Linked DNA regions of Notamacropus eugenii. The protein of the gene in region 1 purifies or fractionates together with the protein of each later gene. This does not show direct contact. Links are inferred from orthologs where the notes say so. Each region holds a gene or a part of one and is shown on either strand. Other genes may lie near its edges.

The links.
Region 2: the proteins of ATXN7L3 (region 1) and TAF12 purify together in Homo sapiens (affinity purification with mass spectrometry; 5 studies listed by BioGRID and IntAct, counting the BioPlex papers as one, with this or other methods). This does not show direct contact. The link is inferred for Notamacropus eugenii from reciprocal best matches to the Homo sapiens genes ATXN7L3 and TAF12.

The regions. Positions count from the first base shown.
Region 1 is NC_092873.1:349,846,048-349,853,980, reverse strand, and holds the start of ATXN7L3 (ataxin-7-like protein 3), read right to left. Parts: upstream 3,005-7,933; 5' UTR 2,733-3,004; intron 2,035-2,732; exon of another isoform or gene 1,922-2,034; intron 1,250-1,921; 5' UTR 1,190-1,249; coding exon 1,139-1,189; intron 647-1,138; coding exon 514-646; intron 1-513. UniProt on the Homo sapiens protein: Component of the transcription regulatory histone acetylation (HAT) complex SAGA, a multiprotein complex that activates transcription by remodeling chromatin and mediating histone acetylation and deubiquitination.
Region 2 is NC_092876.1:69,738,189-69,745,368, forward strand, and holds the start of TAF12 (transcription initiation factor TFIID subunit 12), read right to left. Parts: upstream 3,008-7,180; 5' UTR 2,975-3,007; coding exon 2,903-2,974; intron 2,237-2,902; coding exon 1,985-2,236; intron 1-1,984. UniProt on the Homo sapiens protein: The TFIID basal transcription factor complex plays a major role in the initiation of RNA polymerase II (Pol II)-dependent transcription.

The sequences.
Region 1 (7,933 bases):
CCTGATTTCACACACAACTGCCCCTTGAGCTATGACATGCAGCTCCTCATGGGCAGAGATGGACACATGGGACTGGGAGAGAAAATAAAGATCTGCTGTTTCTAAGGAAGGCTCTGAAGGTCATGTCTACCCACCGCAGAATTTAGCAATCATGGTGCAGATGGCACAGGCAGGAAAGTAATACTAAGCCTCAGCCAGGACATGACAAAGAATACACTCCTACTTGCACACTGCTACCCTGTTTACCTACCTCCTGCACCCCAACCCTCACCCCCAAGTCAGAAAAGGCAAGGCTGTTTTTTAAAGCATTAGGTCTTTTCAATTCCCACTCAATTCCTAGACCCGAGAGAGTTAGTCCATAAGATCCAGCCCTATACCACAACTAACCATAAGAACCCCAAGCCACACAGCAAGGAAAATTAACTCTCCCCAAGGCCAAGGTTCACACTCTACGGAGACATGAAGTAAGCCTCGAGGATAGAATTTGTATCATTTCCACCATCTGAGCCTCACCAAAGTCCTTCATGCTGTCAGGGTCTGTGTCATCTAAGAAGAAGTAGCCACACTTGACAGCCCGGTGCACCTCAAAGCAGAGTCCCAGACAAGCATCTTCCACCAGGTCTGTGTAAATCTCATGAGCGATGGCCTGGGCCCCCCAAAAGAACAAGAGTGATTGCAGGGGCCCTTTTCACTTGAGCCTTACTTCCCTAATGTTACCTACAACTGCTTCAGACCCAAGCACGAGAGGCCCAGCCTCCATCCTGAATTCCTATTCTTCTTTCTCCCAGTTCTCAAGGCTTTCAGTTATTCCTTTCCCCAAAAAAGTGGTTATCCCATATTCCTGGAGCCTAACGTTGATAGCTGAAAGGAACTTCAGAGATCATCTAGTCTATCCTCAGAACATTTCATTCAACCTCCTCATTTTTCAAAAGGAAAAACTTAGTTATGGAAAGTTGATGTGACCTGTCCAAGGTCACACAGGTAGAAAATGGCAAATGCACAATTTGAACTCAAGCCTTTTCTAACTCGAAATCCTCCGGTGCCTTTTCTACCCAACGGTTTCTCTTTGCTGCTGATAATGAATATAGATAACCAGAAAACAAAGATGACAGACAAACAGATGGGAGAGAGCTCTCACCTCCAGCTTGCTGTTATCCAGGCCAGACAAAGACATTTCCTCCATTTTCATTTGCAAACTCTCGTGGAGAAGACGTTCTGACTGCTCATAGCACAGCAGGAGGCCACACAGCTGTACACATGGAGGGTTGGGGGAGGAAGGGTAGCTTAAGTCCAGAGGATCTCTACTACCTACTCTCCCCCAGCCCCAGCTCCCCTCTCCCTTCATAATTTACTGATCCCTGAGTTCTTCCACCTTGTTTAAAAATATTCTTTCAGTGGTTGGAAACCTGAAACTCTCTTGAAGTAGGGTGGAAGGGAGAAAATTATACAGATTCCTAAGCTTGACCCTTTCCACCATCATACACACATCTCATCCCCAAAGTGACTTCTGTTTTGCCATGGTGGCCACAGAAGGCCTGGAGCTATGCCACCTTAGGTAACTCCCTGTCCTAGACCTTTGCCGAATTCTCACATAAATTTAGAGAAAGAAGGTATCTTACGGATTTTCTAGTCCAACCACTTCACTTTACAAATTAAGAAACTAAGACCCAGAATAGTTAAATGACTTACCCAAAGTCATAGTAACTGGCAGGAGGACCCTGGGTCTCTCCTCATGAAATAAAACCAAACCAAAGCAAGGAAGCTAACCTTGTAAGAAGGTTAAGATAAAGGAGCAAGGAACCGGGCAGGATTTTTGCATTACAGTGCAGAGAAATGGATTTTGAATCACAGAACCAGGGTTTTAGTCTTGGCTCTATCACTTAATACTTGTGACCTTGGGCAAATTACTTAACCTACTAACCTTAGGGCCTCCCTTTCCTTATCAGTAAAGTGTAGAGGGTGGAACTGAGGAGCTCTTAAATTCTTGCCAGTTGTACACCTCTTATTCAGCATTGATTAAGGATTAAGAGCTAGGAATTGGAAGATCTCCCCCAGCCCCCACCCAACAATCCCATGCCCAAGGAGGACAGCATGGCAGAAAGCAGTAACCCATCTCACCGGTTCCCTCCTCCCAACAGTGGAGTCTCTGGAGGTGTCAAGGAGCCCCCCTCCCCCTTTAGGGCTAAGAATACCCTAGGGCTTGTGAATGGAGGTAGGAACGAGGCACTTAGGTTGGGGACTTTAGTTTTTCTCCCCCACCCTGCCCGATACTGCATTGACGCTGCATCACCCTGGGGGGGGGGGGGGGTAGGGAGGAGCCCAAACCACACCAGTTCCCATCTCTTCCAGTCCTGGGGAGAAACAAGGTCCTGCCCCACCCCACAACCTCCCAGGCCCGGGCATCCTCCCTGCCCTGCCCCGCAGGAAGGGGTGCTCCAGGGGACTATTGTCCGAGCTCCTCAGGGCAACCTGGTCTTCCCTCCCAAACAAAGGGCAGCGCCTTCCTCGGCCCCGGGGGCCTCCCCCATCCCAAGACAAGCGCGGGGGGAGGGGAGGAGGGAAAGAGGGCACGCCACACCCCGGGACCGAGAAACACCCACTGCTTCCGGGACTTGGGGGAGGGGCGGGGAAGAGAACGCGGGCCCGGCAGCGGCGGGTCAGAGGGCGCGAGGGTCAAGGGTCAGGGGGCGGAGGCACGGGACCCCAGGCCCCTCCCCTCCCCCCTCACTCACCCCGCCCGGGGGGCTGCGCCGGGGCCCCGGGGCCTCTCGGCCTCTCAGGGCCGCGTCCTCCGGCGGCGGCGACGGCGGCGGCTGCTGCTGCTGCTGCTGCTACTTCTCCGGGGACCCATGTCCGTCCGTCCGTCCGCCCTCGCCTCGCCTCCCGGAGCCGGGGGTCGAGCCGCCTCCTCCCCCCCGCCGCCGCCTCAGCGGGCGGCCATGGCCCCTTCCTTCCCCTCCCTCCTGGCCTCGCTGCCTCGTCACCGCCTCCTGCTCACCTCACCCCGCCCCTCCTCCTCCAACCTCCCCCCCGCCCCGGGACGATCCAGCCCGCCTCTCCCGGGCGGGGGGCGCGGCGCGAGGAGCCCAGAGCGCGCGCGCGCGAGGTAAGCCGGGCGCGCGCGCCACCCCGCCCCGCGCTCGGCCTCCCCGCAGCGGCCTCGACCCTCGGGCCCCTCCCCTTCTCCCGCTGTCCCCTCCCTCACTTCCTGTCTTCCTGCACTCTCTTCCGCGCGCGCAGCGGCTGCTCGAGCTAGCGGGGTCCCGGCGCGTGCATCTGCCCCGCGGGCCGCCGCTCGGCCGCATTGGCTATTGGGGGCGGAGATGGGGCGGGGGAGGCGGAGGGAGCCGAGCGGAGAGGAGGAGGGCCACGCCGCGGCCGAACGTCCCGACGGCCGTACCTCCCTAGAGAGTGTGCGGAGGGGGCGGGGCCTCGATTGTCTTCTCCTCGCCAATAGGAAGCACGCATCCCCGCCGACAGGCCTATAGGACCGCACGGAGCGGAAGCGGTGTTTAAAGCAGGGGTGCGCGAAGCTTGGGGAGGTGGATACTTTGTTGCAATCCCGGCCGGCTAACTGGGCGGGGAGCCGGTGGTGTTGAACTCTGGTGGCCGCTCCCCTCCATTCCCCTCCCCGCTCCCTGGGGACGCCTCTGGACCCGCAGTCCCCGCCCTTTTCCCGGGGAAACCCCGCCTCTCGCATTGCAGGCCCAGTGTTCTGGGGAACGTGGCTTAGTGAATGCCGCTGGTTCTTGCTGATTTACCCTTTTTCTGGGCTGCGAAGAGGGTCCCAGGACTTCTAGCTGTGGGGCCAGACGCTGCCCCTTGAACCCCCCTAACTCCCCCCCTTCCCCGCCTCCCAGTGTCTACGCCTCCACCCCCCAACGTGCCTTTCAATCGCCCCTCCCACTGTACCAAGGGTGCCACCTTCCTCCATCTATTTGTCACCTGGTCGAACTCCTTATTCTCTAGCGATTGCCAAGCCATTGTTAGTCTTTTCATTAAAAAAATAATTTCAATGAATAATAGTTAAAATTTTCACATACAAATGTATCTTTGTTCTTCCCACCTCACACCTTCCTTCGTTGGGAAAAAAGAAAAAGCCCTTGTAAGAAATATGCATAGTCAGGCAAAACAAATTCTCTTACTGGCCGTTTCCCAACACGGTGTTGTAATCTACCTCCTGGTTCCATCACCAGTCTCTCAGTAAGTGGGCAGCACATTTCATTTGGGGTCCTCTGAAATCCTGGTTGGTCATTGTCTGGTTCAGAGTTCTGAAGTCTTTGACAGTTCCTTGTCTTTAAATTTATTTTTTTTTACATTAAAGACTTGTTTTCTTTGCTTCCCACTTCATCTCCACTGAAAAAAAAGGAAAAAGCTCTTTAAGCAAATATGTATGGTCAAGCAAAACATTTTTAAATTGGCCGTGTTTATAAAAAAAAAACGATGTGTTTCAATCTGCATCCCAAATCCATCACCACTCTCTCAGGAGATCAGCGCGTTTCCCGTTGGGTCTTGGGGAAATATGGCTGGTGATTTCATCGATCAGAATTCTTAAGTCTCTCAAGTTTGTCTTTACAATGTTGTTAACTGTGTAAGTTCTCCTGCTTTTGCTCATTTCATTCTGCTCAGTTTATTTGTTATCCCATGTTTCTCTGATAGCCTCCCTTTCATCATTTCATTGAGAACAATAAAATTCGTTACATTAATACATCATAATTTGTTCAGCCATTCTTCAACTGAAGGTCATTCCCCTATTTTCCAGTTCTTTTCAGCTACAAAAGAAAAAAAATAAGCTGCTATAAATATTTTTGCATATGGGTCCTTTTTCTTTGACCATTTTGTAGCATAGCTTAGGTATTTCTACGTTAAAGGGTCTAGTAATACAGGCCTACTTGTGGCAAATGCACAGTTTAGTAACTTTGGGGGCAAAGTTCCAAAACTGCTTTCCATAATGACTGAATCAATTCACAGCTCCACTAACAGTGCATTTTCCCCTCATAACCCCTCTCACATTTGTTATTTTCCTTTTATGTCAACTTTGCCAGTCTCTTAGTCTTTTCTCAATGAACTCAAGGTTCTTCTCCAACCTCAAACCCAATCTTCATATTTGGGGACTTCAAGATAATTGGCAGTCTCCTGAAACAACTAGAGCTCACAGTTTAAGTGCTTCAACTCCCATGACCTCCATCTTTTCTACCCCTCAGTTGCCTAGAACTCCTCAAATAATCAGATCATCACCTGTAATGCAATTATTCCATGTCCTGCATCTAAATCTCTGAATTCCTATCGTCACTACCTGGCACCTCTTAAATCTGTTTTTTATGCTTATGGTGGCCTCCAATCTTTCTATCCCTTCCTGTTTTATTCTCTGTCTTCCTTTCCATGCCTTCATGACCTTGACCAGTTCAACCACATACTGTTAGTTACCTTAGACTCTTTACCTTTTGGTCCTCTCATCAGCTAGCTATTCCTTGCCAAACTGCTGGATTACTGCCACCATCTGCTATCTCTCTTCCTGCTCATGTCTCACAGAAGTCCTTTGGGGAAAGTCAGACACCATGAATAAAATTAGTGTAGATGGAATTAGAAGAGAAGCAGTTCATTGGAGAAAATATCTTTGCAACACATATCTATAATAAGGATATCTAAGATCTGATATACAAGATTTAAATGCATAAGAACAAGAGTCTTTCGCCAATAGATAAATAATCTGAAGAGGTAGGTTTTTTTTTTTGAGCAAGGAAAGAAAAATCTTTTTTTTTCTTATCACTTTCACTTCCTAATGTATTTCTCTCCTCTCCCTACAAAAAGCCATGCTTTATATGACAGGGGGCTGGCCAATGAGAGCCCAGCTTGGGAACATGTGCAATCTTCTTTGCCTGGTATAATCCATATGCATAATAGCATGTCCTGCTCCCCATTTCAGAGCATGCCCAGGTATTCTATAACTATTTGCTGTCTGATTACTATGTGCTGAAGAAAAGGCTGACTGCTGAGCCAGAAAAAAATAGACTATGCATGCAAAAGGTACTAACTAGCCAAATGGACCTCCCTTTCCCAGCCTAGTTAGAATTGGTCACTCCATATAGCGTTGGGGATACAAAGAAAGACAAAAGACAAGAGCCCCTCCCAGTCTAATGGGAGAGACAACAAATAAACAACTGTGCAATAACAAGCTATATACAGGATAAATAGGAAGTAGCCGACAGAGGGAAGGCACTAGAATTAAGAGGAATTGGGAAAGGCTTCCTTTAGAGAGTAAGGAGCAGGAACTTCTGGGGGCTTCAAGGTGGAGGAGGGGCCTTGGGGCTGTCTCTCACCTATTTGCCAAGAAGTCAAAGGGGCATGGCCCAGCTATTTTGATGTCCCTATTGTTCAGTCTTTATGCCCCTATTTGGGGTTTTCTTGGCAAAGGTACTGGAGTGGTTTGCCATTTCCTTCTCATCTCCAGCTCATGTTACAGATGAGGAAACTGAGGCAAAAAGGGTTAAGTAACTTGCCCAGAGTCACACAGCTAATGTCTAAGGTTGAGCTTAGATCATCCTGCATCCAGGCCTGGTGTTTTTCTATCCACTGTGCCACCTAGCTGCACCCCCCACCCATTGTTTTTGTCTGTTAGTTATATCTGACTCTCCATGATCCCATTTGGGGTTTCCTTGGCAAGGATACTGGAGTGGTTTGCCATTTCCTTCTGCAGCTCATTTTATAGATGAGGAAACTGAGTCAAACAGGGTGAAGTAACATGCCTAGGGTCACCCAACTAGTAAGTGTCTGAGGCCAGATTTGAACTCAGCAAGATGAGTCTTTAGTCAGCTACTAAGTATCTAAGGTAAAATTTAAACTCAGGCCCCTGCACCATCTAGCTGCTTCAAAGATAAGAATAGTCCATAGTAGAAAGAGCCATGTCTTTGGAGTCCAAGGACATGGGTTGAAGATCCTCCTCTGATGCTCCTTATATGATTTTGAAGATGTTGTTTAGGCTCCCTGGGCCCCAGTAAAGTGAAAGGGAAAGGTGGAGCCTTTTATTTCTAGACCTATGGCCTGTCATTGTGAAAATACTGATAGTAGCACTTCTTGTAGTAGTAAACATTTGGAAGAAAAGGGAATGCTCATTGGCTGGGAGATGATTGAACAAGGTTGGCATGTGAATGAGATTAAAATCATGCTTTATGAAATTACCTCTGAATATGAAGAATTCAGAGAAACTTGGGAGGACTTATACAAACTGATTTAAAGCAAAGAAATCAGAACAAGAAGAACAGTGTATGTAATGACCACAATTATGTAAAGGAAAATAACTTTGAAAGACTTTACAACTCTGATCAATGCAGTGACCAATTATAATCTCGAGCAGCTAGATGGTACAGTGGATAGAGTGCTGGGCCTGAGCTTAAATCTGACCTCTGATAGTTAGTAGCTGTGTGATCCTGAGAAAATCAATTAAATTAATCCTGTTTGCCTCAGTTTCCTCATCTATAAAATAAACTTGAAAAGGAAATGGTAAGCCACTCCAGTTATCTTTGCCAAGAAAATCCCAAAGGGATCACAAAGAGTTGGACATGACTGAATGACAAATTATAATTTCAGAGGATTTGATGGTGAAGCCTGTCTCCCTTCTTTCTGCAGAGAGGTGGCAGACAGAAGTGTGGAATAAACACATACCTTTTGAGACAGGACCATTCTGGAGATATGCTTTACTCAACTGTATTCATTTGGTTATAAAAAAAAAGGGTTCTATGGGTGTGAGGGAATTATTGAGAAGTGTTAAGAATGTGAGGAAAAAAGCAACAATAAAATTTTTACCCCCCCCAAAAAAGTACCACATAACCAAGTTGTCTGGATTTTACTGGTTTTATGTCATCTAATCATTGGGACTCTTACAGCACAATAATCCTTTTATTTTAGACTGAGTCTGATTACAACTCTGTCTCTC
Region 2 (7,180 bases), on another chromosome or scaffold:
TGCTTTAGGTAAATACATAAACAGGTCAATTTGTGATGAGAGTTAAAGACATGGTTAATGTAAATTCTGCCCTGTAGCTGTCTGTCCAGCAATGCAAGGCTCCAAGGTAACCCCCCACCACAGGACCTTGGTTAGAAAATTCCTCCTCCCCCTAGCTCTAACAGCTTCTGAGGAGCATAGGGCTCTGGCAGGAGCACACTTGAGGAAGAACAGGTGGAAAGGACAGCAATGCCTTGCACACCTGGAGAAGCAACGTAAACCAGGAAGGTGTAAAGATTCTGAGAACTTGGGGGACTGCAGAGATGCCCGAGGACCCCAGGGCAGGCAAAGGCACCAAGGAACCATCTAAGTTCTGCTTGCTGTGCTCCACTGCCCCCATGGCCACCTCCTGGCTTTGTTGACCAGGGGGAGGTTTCCTGCTAAACCTGACCTTTTATTCTCTGCACAAAGGGCCTCTTTCTGAGCTTCACTTGGGATCAACAGCCTTACCTTTCTCCCAGTTGTGCAGGCTAGAAGCGCTGGGGGTCTGATCTTTGGTTCATCCCACTCTCTTTTCTCATATCAAATTACTAAGTTATACTGATTCTTCCTTCAAAATGTGTTTTGGATTTGTCCCTCCATTAGATGTTGCTCCCCTGACTCATGTCTCACACCTGGGCTACTAGAATAAGTTCCCCACCTCTTCAACCCACCCTTAGGGTCCCTCAAACTCCCAGTGCAGCAGAACAAAATTAAATGTAACCGGAAGCATTTAACAAAATAAGTAAAAATTCATTACGCAACAGTGGAAGGACTGCTGGATTTGGAGACAAAGAACTTCTGTTCAAATCTGACTTAGACTCTAGGACCCCAATTAACAACTCTGGGCCCCAAGTTGCTCATCAATAACACAGAGGTTAGACTACATAATGTCTGACATCCTTTTCAACTCTAAATCTACAATCCTACCTACCTCCTTAGAGGCAGCTAGGTGGCTCAGTGGATAGAGTGCTGGGCCTGGAGTCAGGAAGACCTGAGTTCAAATCCAGCCTCAGATGTTTATTTACAAGAGCAAAATCACTTAACCTCCATTTGCCTTAGTTTCCCCAACTGTAAAACATGAGTAATGACAATATCTACCTCACGGGAGAGTCGTTCAAATGAGATATTTGTAAAAATGTGCTTAGCATAGTACCTGACAGATAGTAGGTGCTGTAGAAATGCTTATTCCCATCCCTTCTTTTTCCTGGCTTATTTCACAATCCTATCTCCCACTCCCCTCCACCTTATAGCCAAGTTGGCCTATTTGTTTTCTGCACTACGCTGTGCCTTTGTATAGACTGTCTGCTGTAAGTGGAAAATTCTCCCTCCTTATGTCCAGCTCCCACTCAAAGCTCAGCTTCAGGGCCCCCTCTTTAAATCCCCCCAGCTGCTAGTGCTCTTCCCCTCTCCCAAATTATTCTGTATCTAAAGTGTGTATATGCTGTAGACTCTTTAAGTTCCTTGAGGATGAGGACTACCCTGTTTCTGCATCCCTAGTGCCTAACATATTTTCTTTTTTGTGGTCTGGATCTTTAATTTCATTTGTGCAAAAGCCTGTTGCCAGTGAGGACACTTCCTCTGCCAGTGCTGATGGGCCATTCATAGTTTTAGAGCGGTGATTTGCCCAGGGTAACAAGCTGGAGTGTCAGAGGCAGGACTTAATCCCAGTTTGTAATGACCAAGGCTATCCCTCTATCTACTACACCCTTCTGCCTCTCACCTGCCACACAGTAGGTGCTTAATTATAACAACTGAGGTCTCAGAATGGTGGCTGGGTTGAAGAAAATATAGAACTAAATTAAGAAAGCTACAGCTCAACTGACTCAAACATGCTTATCCTATTCTTTTCTAATAATTTACCCCAACGCTTGTATATATTCCCTTTATCATAGAGAAATAACACCGGCATTAGTAAACAATGAACAAAGCTCCCAGAAGCCCATGCCGAAAGGACAACTGATACCTGATTGCTTTCTGGACTAAGACGCCCCCCTGCCCCTGGGGGGCCTGGCATCTTTCCCACTGTGGTACTGTTGGCCATGGACCCCTGAGGGGGGGTGCTGGAAGGTTCCGGTTTTATGGATGAAAAGTTGGAGAGATTGATCAGGGCTGAGGGGCCAAACTGGTTCATAATCTGTCGAGCTTTGGCCTTCAGTTCATGGAGCTTGTCAAGGTCCTGTTTTTTTTTGGGATTATGGGGACCGAGGCCAATCAACTGGGGAAAGAAAACATAAAAATATATTTTAGAAGCATCAGTAACAAAGGGTGGACATTTTAAAAAACTGTGTGTTTGTTAGATTTTTTCAGAATCTGAGTTCACCTCAAATGGTCACAAATTAATACCTTTGATTATAAAAATGGAGAGAGAAACGAATGCATAGCTTTTCCCTGACATTTGGAAATCATCTCTCCTTTAACAACTCTCTGAAAGGGTCTTCAGAACAGAAAGAAGACAAACAGACCAAAAAGTCATACACAGACACTGACTGGAAAGAGTAAGATATTTCTGAGGTTTATATAAAAACAGAACATTTGGTGAAGACATAGGATCATCTGGGGAAAATATGTGTTAAATTCAAATAACCAAAAAGAAACTCCACTTATACACCATAACCACCTCTGCAGAAAGGGGCACAGCCCCAGTGATTCAGAAATTAGTAACTCATGTTAACTGACACACCACATCATGCACTGACACTCAATGCAGTTATGTCCAATAAGCACAAAGCTTAACAATTTTAAGAGTAAGTTATCTTTTGGTTCTGTTAATCGTGCCAGATCAGCCTTTTAAAAATGGCCTGAGCCTGTTAGCATGACAAGATGGTGCACACTCAAAAACTTTGGCCACAGATGCCATGGTCGCATTAATTAGCTTACTTACAGCTATCTGAGCGTCTAGATCTTTAATTACATCAGCAACTGCTGTGAGCCCGGTGAAAGGAGGAGCAGCCATTGCCTAAATCTTTCTGAAAGTAAACAACTGGCACCAGACAACTTGGGCTATCAGGTCTTAGCCAGAGAGAGGAGGCAGTGGAGGCTGCTTGTCCTCAATGAGCACCCAGAAAAACGGCCTGCCTGGCCACACGAAGCCAGTGTTATTAAGGCTTGCTGCCGGGGGTGCCCACCAGCTCCTGGAAGGGTAAATGTCTATTGTTAGGAATGAGCTCAGAGCAGATAAAACTGACAGCAGCCTACCAACAGGTGGGGATGTGCAGTCTGGCTGTACCACCACAGGGTTGGGGCTGGAATCAGTATCAGACCAATCCTTTCAGAACTTTGGCAAACTCTGAGTAGTGCATGTGTGCACATGTGTGTGTGCGTGTATACACATGTACCTCTCTGCCCTATCCCTGACCACGACTCTAATGTGTCCCTGTTTAAAAAGTGCATTCTGTTGTCTCACCTCTCAGCACTAGCTTACTAATGGAGTGCTCACAATGACTGGTTTCACACAGGCAGACTCTGCTGCTTCACTGTAGCACAGTGGTTTGTGGGGGCTTATTCCAGTGGAAAGCAAACTGGCTGGTCACACCACATTAGAAAGGCTGCAAGAAGAGGCCCTGTGATGCACACTATGTGTTGGCTGTCCAGGGACCAGTCTTGTCCAAACAAAGATTGGATAAGATGGCCTCTCAGGCTCCTTCCTACTCTGAGATTTTTTTTTTAACCATAACAACTCATGAAGACTACACACAAATGGGTAGAGAGGTTGTGATCTGTGTTGCTGAAATACATATTTTTGAGGTATTAAAGTAATGATGAAAAGTGTTCTACAAAAAGCTACAAACTGGCCAGAGAACCCATGAAGATCAGTGCAGACGTGCTCCCTTTAAACTCTGCTGATTCCATGACAAATCCTACAGGTACTTGAAAGATCCTTGTTGGAGAACATAAAGTCAGTGTCTTCTTTCTGGCTCTAGGCTCATGTTTCAAACACTTAAGATGAAACTTCTAATATGTGTGGTGGGATAAAAAATAAATAAATTGGTTACCTAGAGGTTTCTCATTAATGAACTCTCTCATGACAAGACTTGAACTGCATATAAACCATGAATGACAAGCACAGGACACAACATGAACAATCACACAGTTAACTCGAGAGTGACCTAAGGCATAATCCCAAAGAGATTTCTCCTTCACCTGTTCTCAGAACATTTTGTATTCTTGCACATTTAGCACTTTCTAAACTCTATTTACCTTATTACAATTTCACTTTTCCGACTACAAGTTAAGATCCTCGAAAGCAGGGACATATCGCAATGATCATCTTCTCTGCTCCACGGCTCTATGCCCCATACAAGGTAAGGGACACTTGCTAATTGAATGCATGTATTGGGCTTCTAGATTCTCACAGGTGTTATCTACATGTACTGCCTCTTCCAGATTATAATCCAGTCCTCATGATCATGCTCAAATGTCTACCAGGGGTAGGGAACCTGTGGCCTCGAGGCCACAGGTGGCCCTCTAGATCCTCAAGTGCAGCCCTTTGACTAAATCCAAACTTCACAGAACAAATCAAACAAAGATTTGTTCTGTGAAGTTTGGCAACATGCTCAACTATTACAAATCTTGTCAATTCTGCCTCCAAATTTACCATGCACCCATTTCCTCTCTTCCATTAGCACTAACTTTATGAAGAGACCAAATCAACAATAGAGAATCAATGAATTTCAAACTTCTTAGCTTAGTATTCAGAGATGTCCATAATGTGGCCTCTTTACATTCTTGAAGAGCTAGCCTCTAAATCCCACCTCTTCATTTCCTATTTTGTTGTCCTTTTGAAGAATGCCTGGAAACCATGAACAGTTTCGCAAGGACAAACTTGACTCCAATTTACTTGATGAAGGCTTACTCTTAAGGATATTTTACCCCCAAATTAATGTTTCTTTTTCTTCTGATGATGATGAAGATGCCTTCTGTGTTGCTGACCTTGGAGACATCCTCAAGAAACATGTGGGATGGTACAGAGCATTTCTTCGAATATATTTTTTATGCTTCAAATGTCACAATGGCAGAGCTAGAAAGATGTTTGCTACTCCAGGAGCAGGGTTTGAATGTCCTATGCTAGCAAGACTGAAATACCTCCAAAGGGCATCATCTAGGCACCTTTAAGCAAATGTCACAAATTAAGTACACTGACAACAAGGGAGAGAAAATGACTTCTGACAGTGAAGTCAAGTGAATGAAAACTACCAGAGATCACTGGACAAAGTTCATTTTGCAGACTGTTACTGCTAACTCCAAAGCTGTCTGTCATCTACTTGTTGAGTTTGGTGCCATTCAAAATAAGTAGGCTGTCTCTGATCTGGAAAAAACCAAAACACTGAATATGAATGTTGCCGGAGTCAGTTTCATGTGTGAAATGATTGCATGGATCCAGAAACCTTTGTATAAGCAGTTTCTGATGCCTGATGTATCTCTGACATTAAGGTTGTCCACCTAATACTGGTTGGTGGTGGCTTATCTGGTTCTGAAGTGGTCGAGCTTAAATATGAACAGATAACAAGTGTAATCCACCCAACACTGGTCAAATATTTTCCTTCTGAATCTAGAGTCAGACATATCTGACCAGAGATACACTATGTTGCATTCCTTTTGGACTTGGGGTTAACATCATTATCCAAAAACCAAAAACCAAACAACCTATATTAAAGGAATACAGAGGTTCTGATGAAGAAAATGATGAAAATGACCAAACCTTTATGTATCATGTGAATGATGGAGAATATCAAACGTTGAACAGCATCTCATTTGATCAGGCATGGTAAGATGTGGAAGACACTTAACCAGATGTGAAATATTACTCTTCTAGCATATGAGGACCAATAGGTTAGTGTCTGGATCAAATTGTGCAATGCTGTGCTTTACCAGAAATACATGTTGAAGCTTGTAGGTGGTTTTAAAACATGGGTGCTTGTCCTGTAGCTACTTTCCCTTTCAGTGACTTCCAGAGCCCCTCTCTACATTGTGACCTCTAAGCCAGAACTGCCATGCAGGCAACAAACCAAGGAGCAGAAGCTTTCTAAGAAGTCAAGGCCCAGGATGGGGCCACTGTCTAAGGCTTGTACAGCAGAATGGAGCATCATTCCTCAGCATCATTTGTACTTCAGCTAGTATCAACAGAGAGAAACTGTTGATAGCCATTAAATGTAAGTTTAGTTTGAATTGAGAGGATTTGGGGAGCGTATTAACTTAATTCTTAAGAGTTTTTAAATGTGTTTGAAGAGTAGCGTTGACTCAGATGCAACAATATGGAAGAGCAGGAGATGAGGTCATACTGGTTCTAGTATGACATTTGTTTTATGTGGATTTTTATTCACTGTTCAATGCTACTAAACGCTTGCCCTCAGCTGTCAAGCATTTGTAACTTGTACAATGGTAGAACAGGTCTGCACTCAAGAGTTTGTGACCTATTTTTCAAATAAAAGTATATTGAATTTTTTTAGTGGGTCTTTGTTTCAGGAAATTTGGGGCCATTAAAAAAAGCCCTGCAACTACCCAAAGTCAACCCCAAAATTCTAAGAGGCATGATGGTGTGGTGGATAGAATACTGGACCTGAAATTAAGAAAACATGGGTTTGAATCCCAGTTGAGAGACTTACTAGCTGTGTGACTTTTGGCAAGCAGACTCTGTATGCCAGTTTCCTTATCTGTAAAATGAAAAGGTTAGATTCAATGACCTCTAATGTCCCTTATAGTTCTAAAAATAATATTCTATGTATGAAAAATCATATAAAAATATTATCAGATAAGTATGTGGCCAGAAAAATAGATGGGCTGGTCACAGAGCAAAAGACACTAGACACTGATGGACAGCCTGCCTGATCCACTGGTATCCACAGAAAGCTAAGAACACCAAGCTCCTACAGACTGGGTGGAGCACTCTATGGTGAATTCATGGGAAGATTAGTGTGAATGGATTGGCAAAAATGGATGGGTTGCAATCTGCTTGATGAAGGGAATTGCTTATATTTAATAGAACCCATATTCAATATGGATATGTTATCTCCTTACTGCACTGCAAGGTCTTTAAGGCAGGAACCATGTCTTTTCTATCTTTTCATTCCCCTATAATCCCCACCCCCAAAAGAAGTACTGATAGGGCATCACATAAACGTAGGGCCCATGCCAGGGGGAGATGTGGAAGGACTACAGGGAA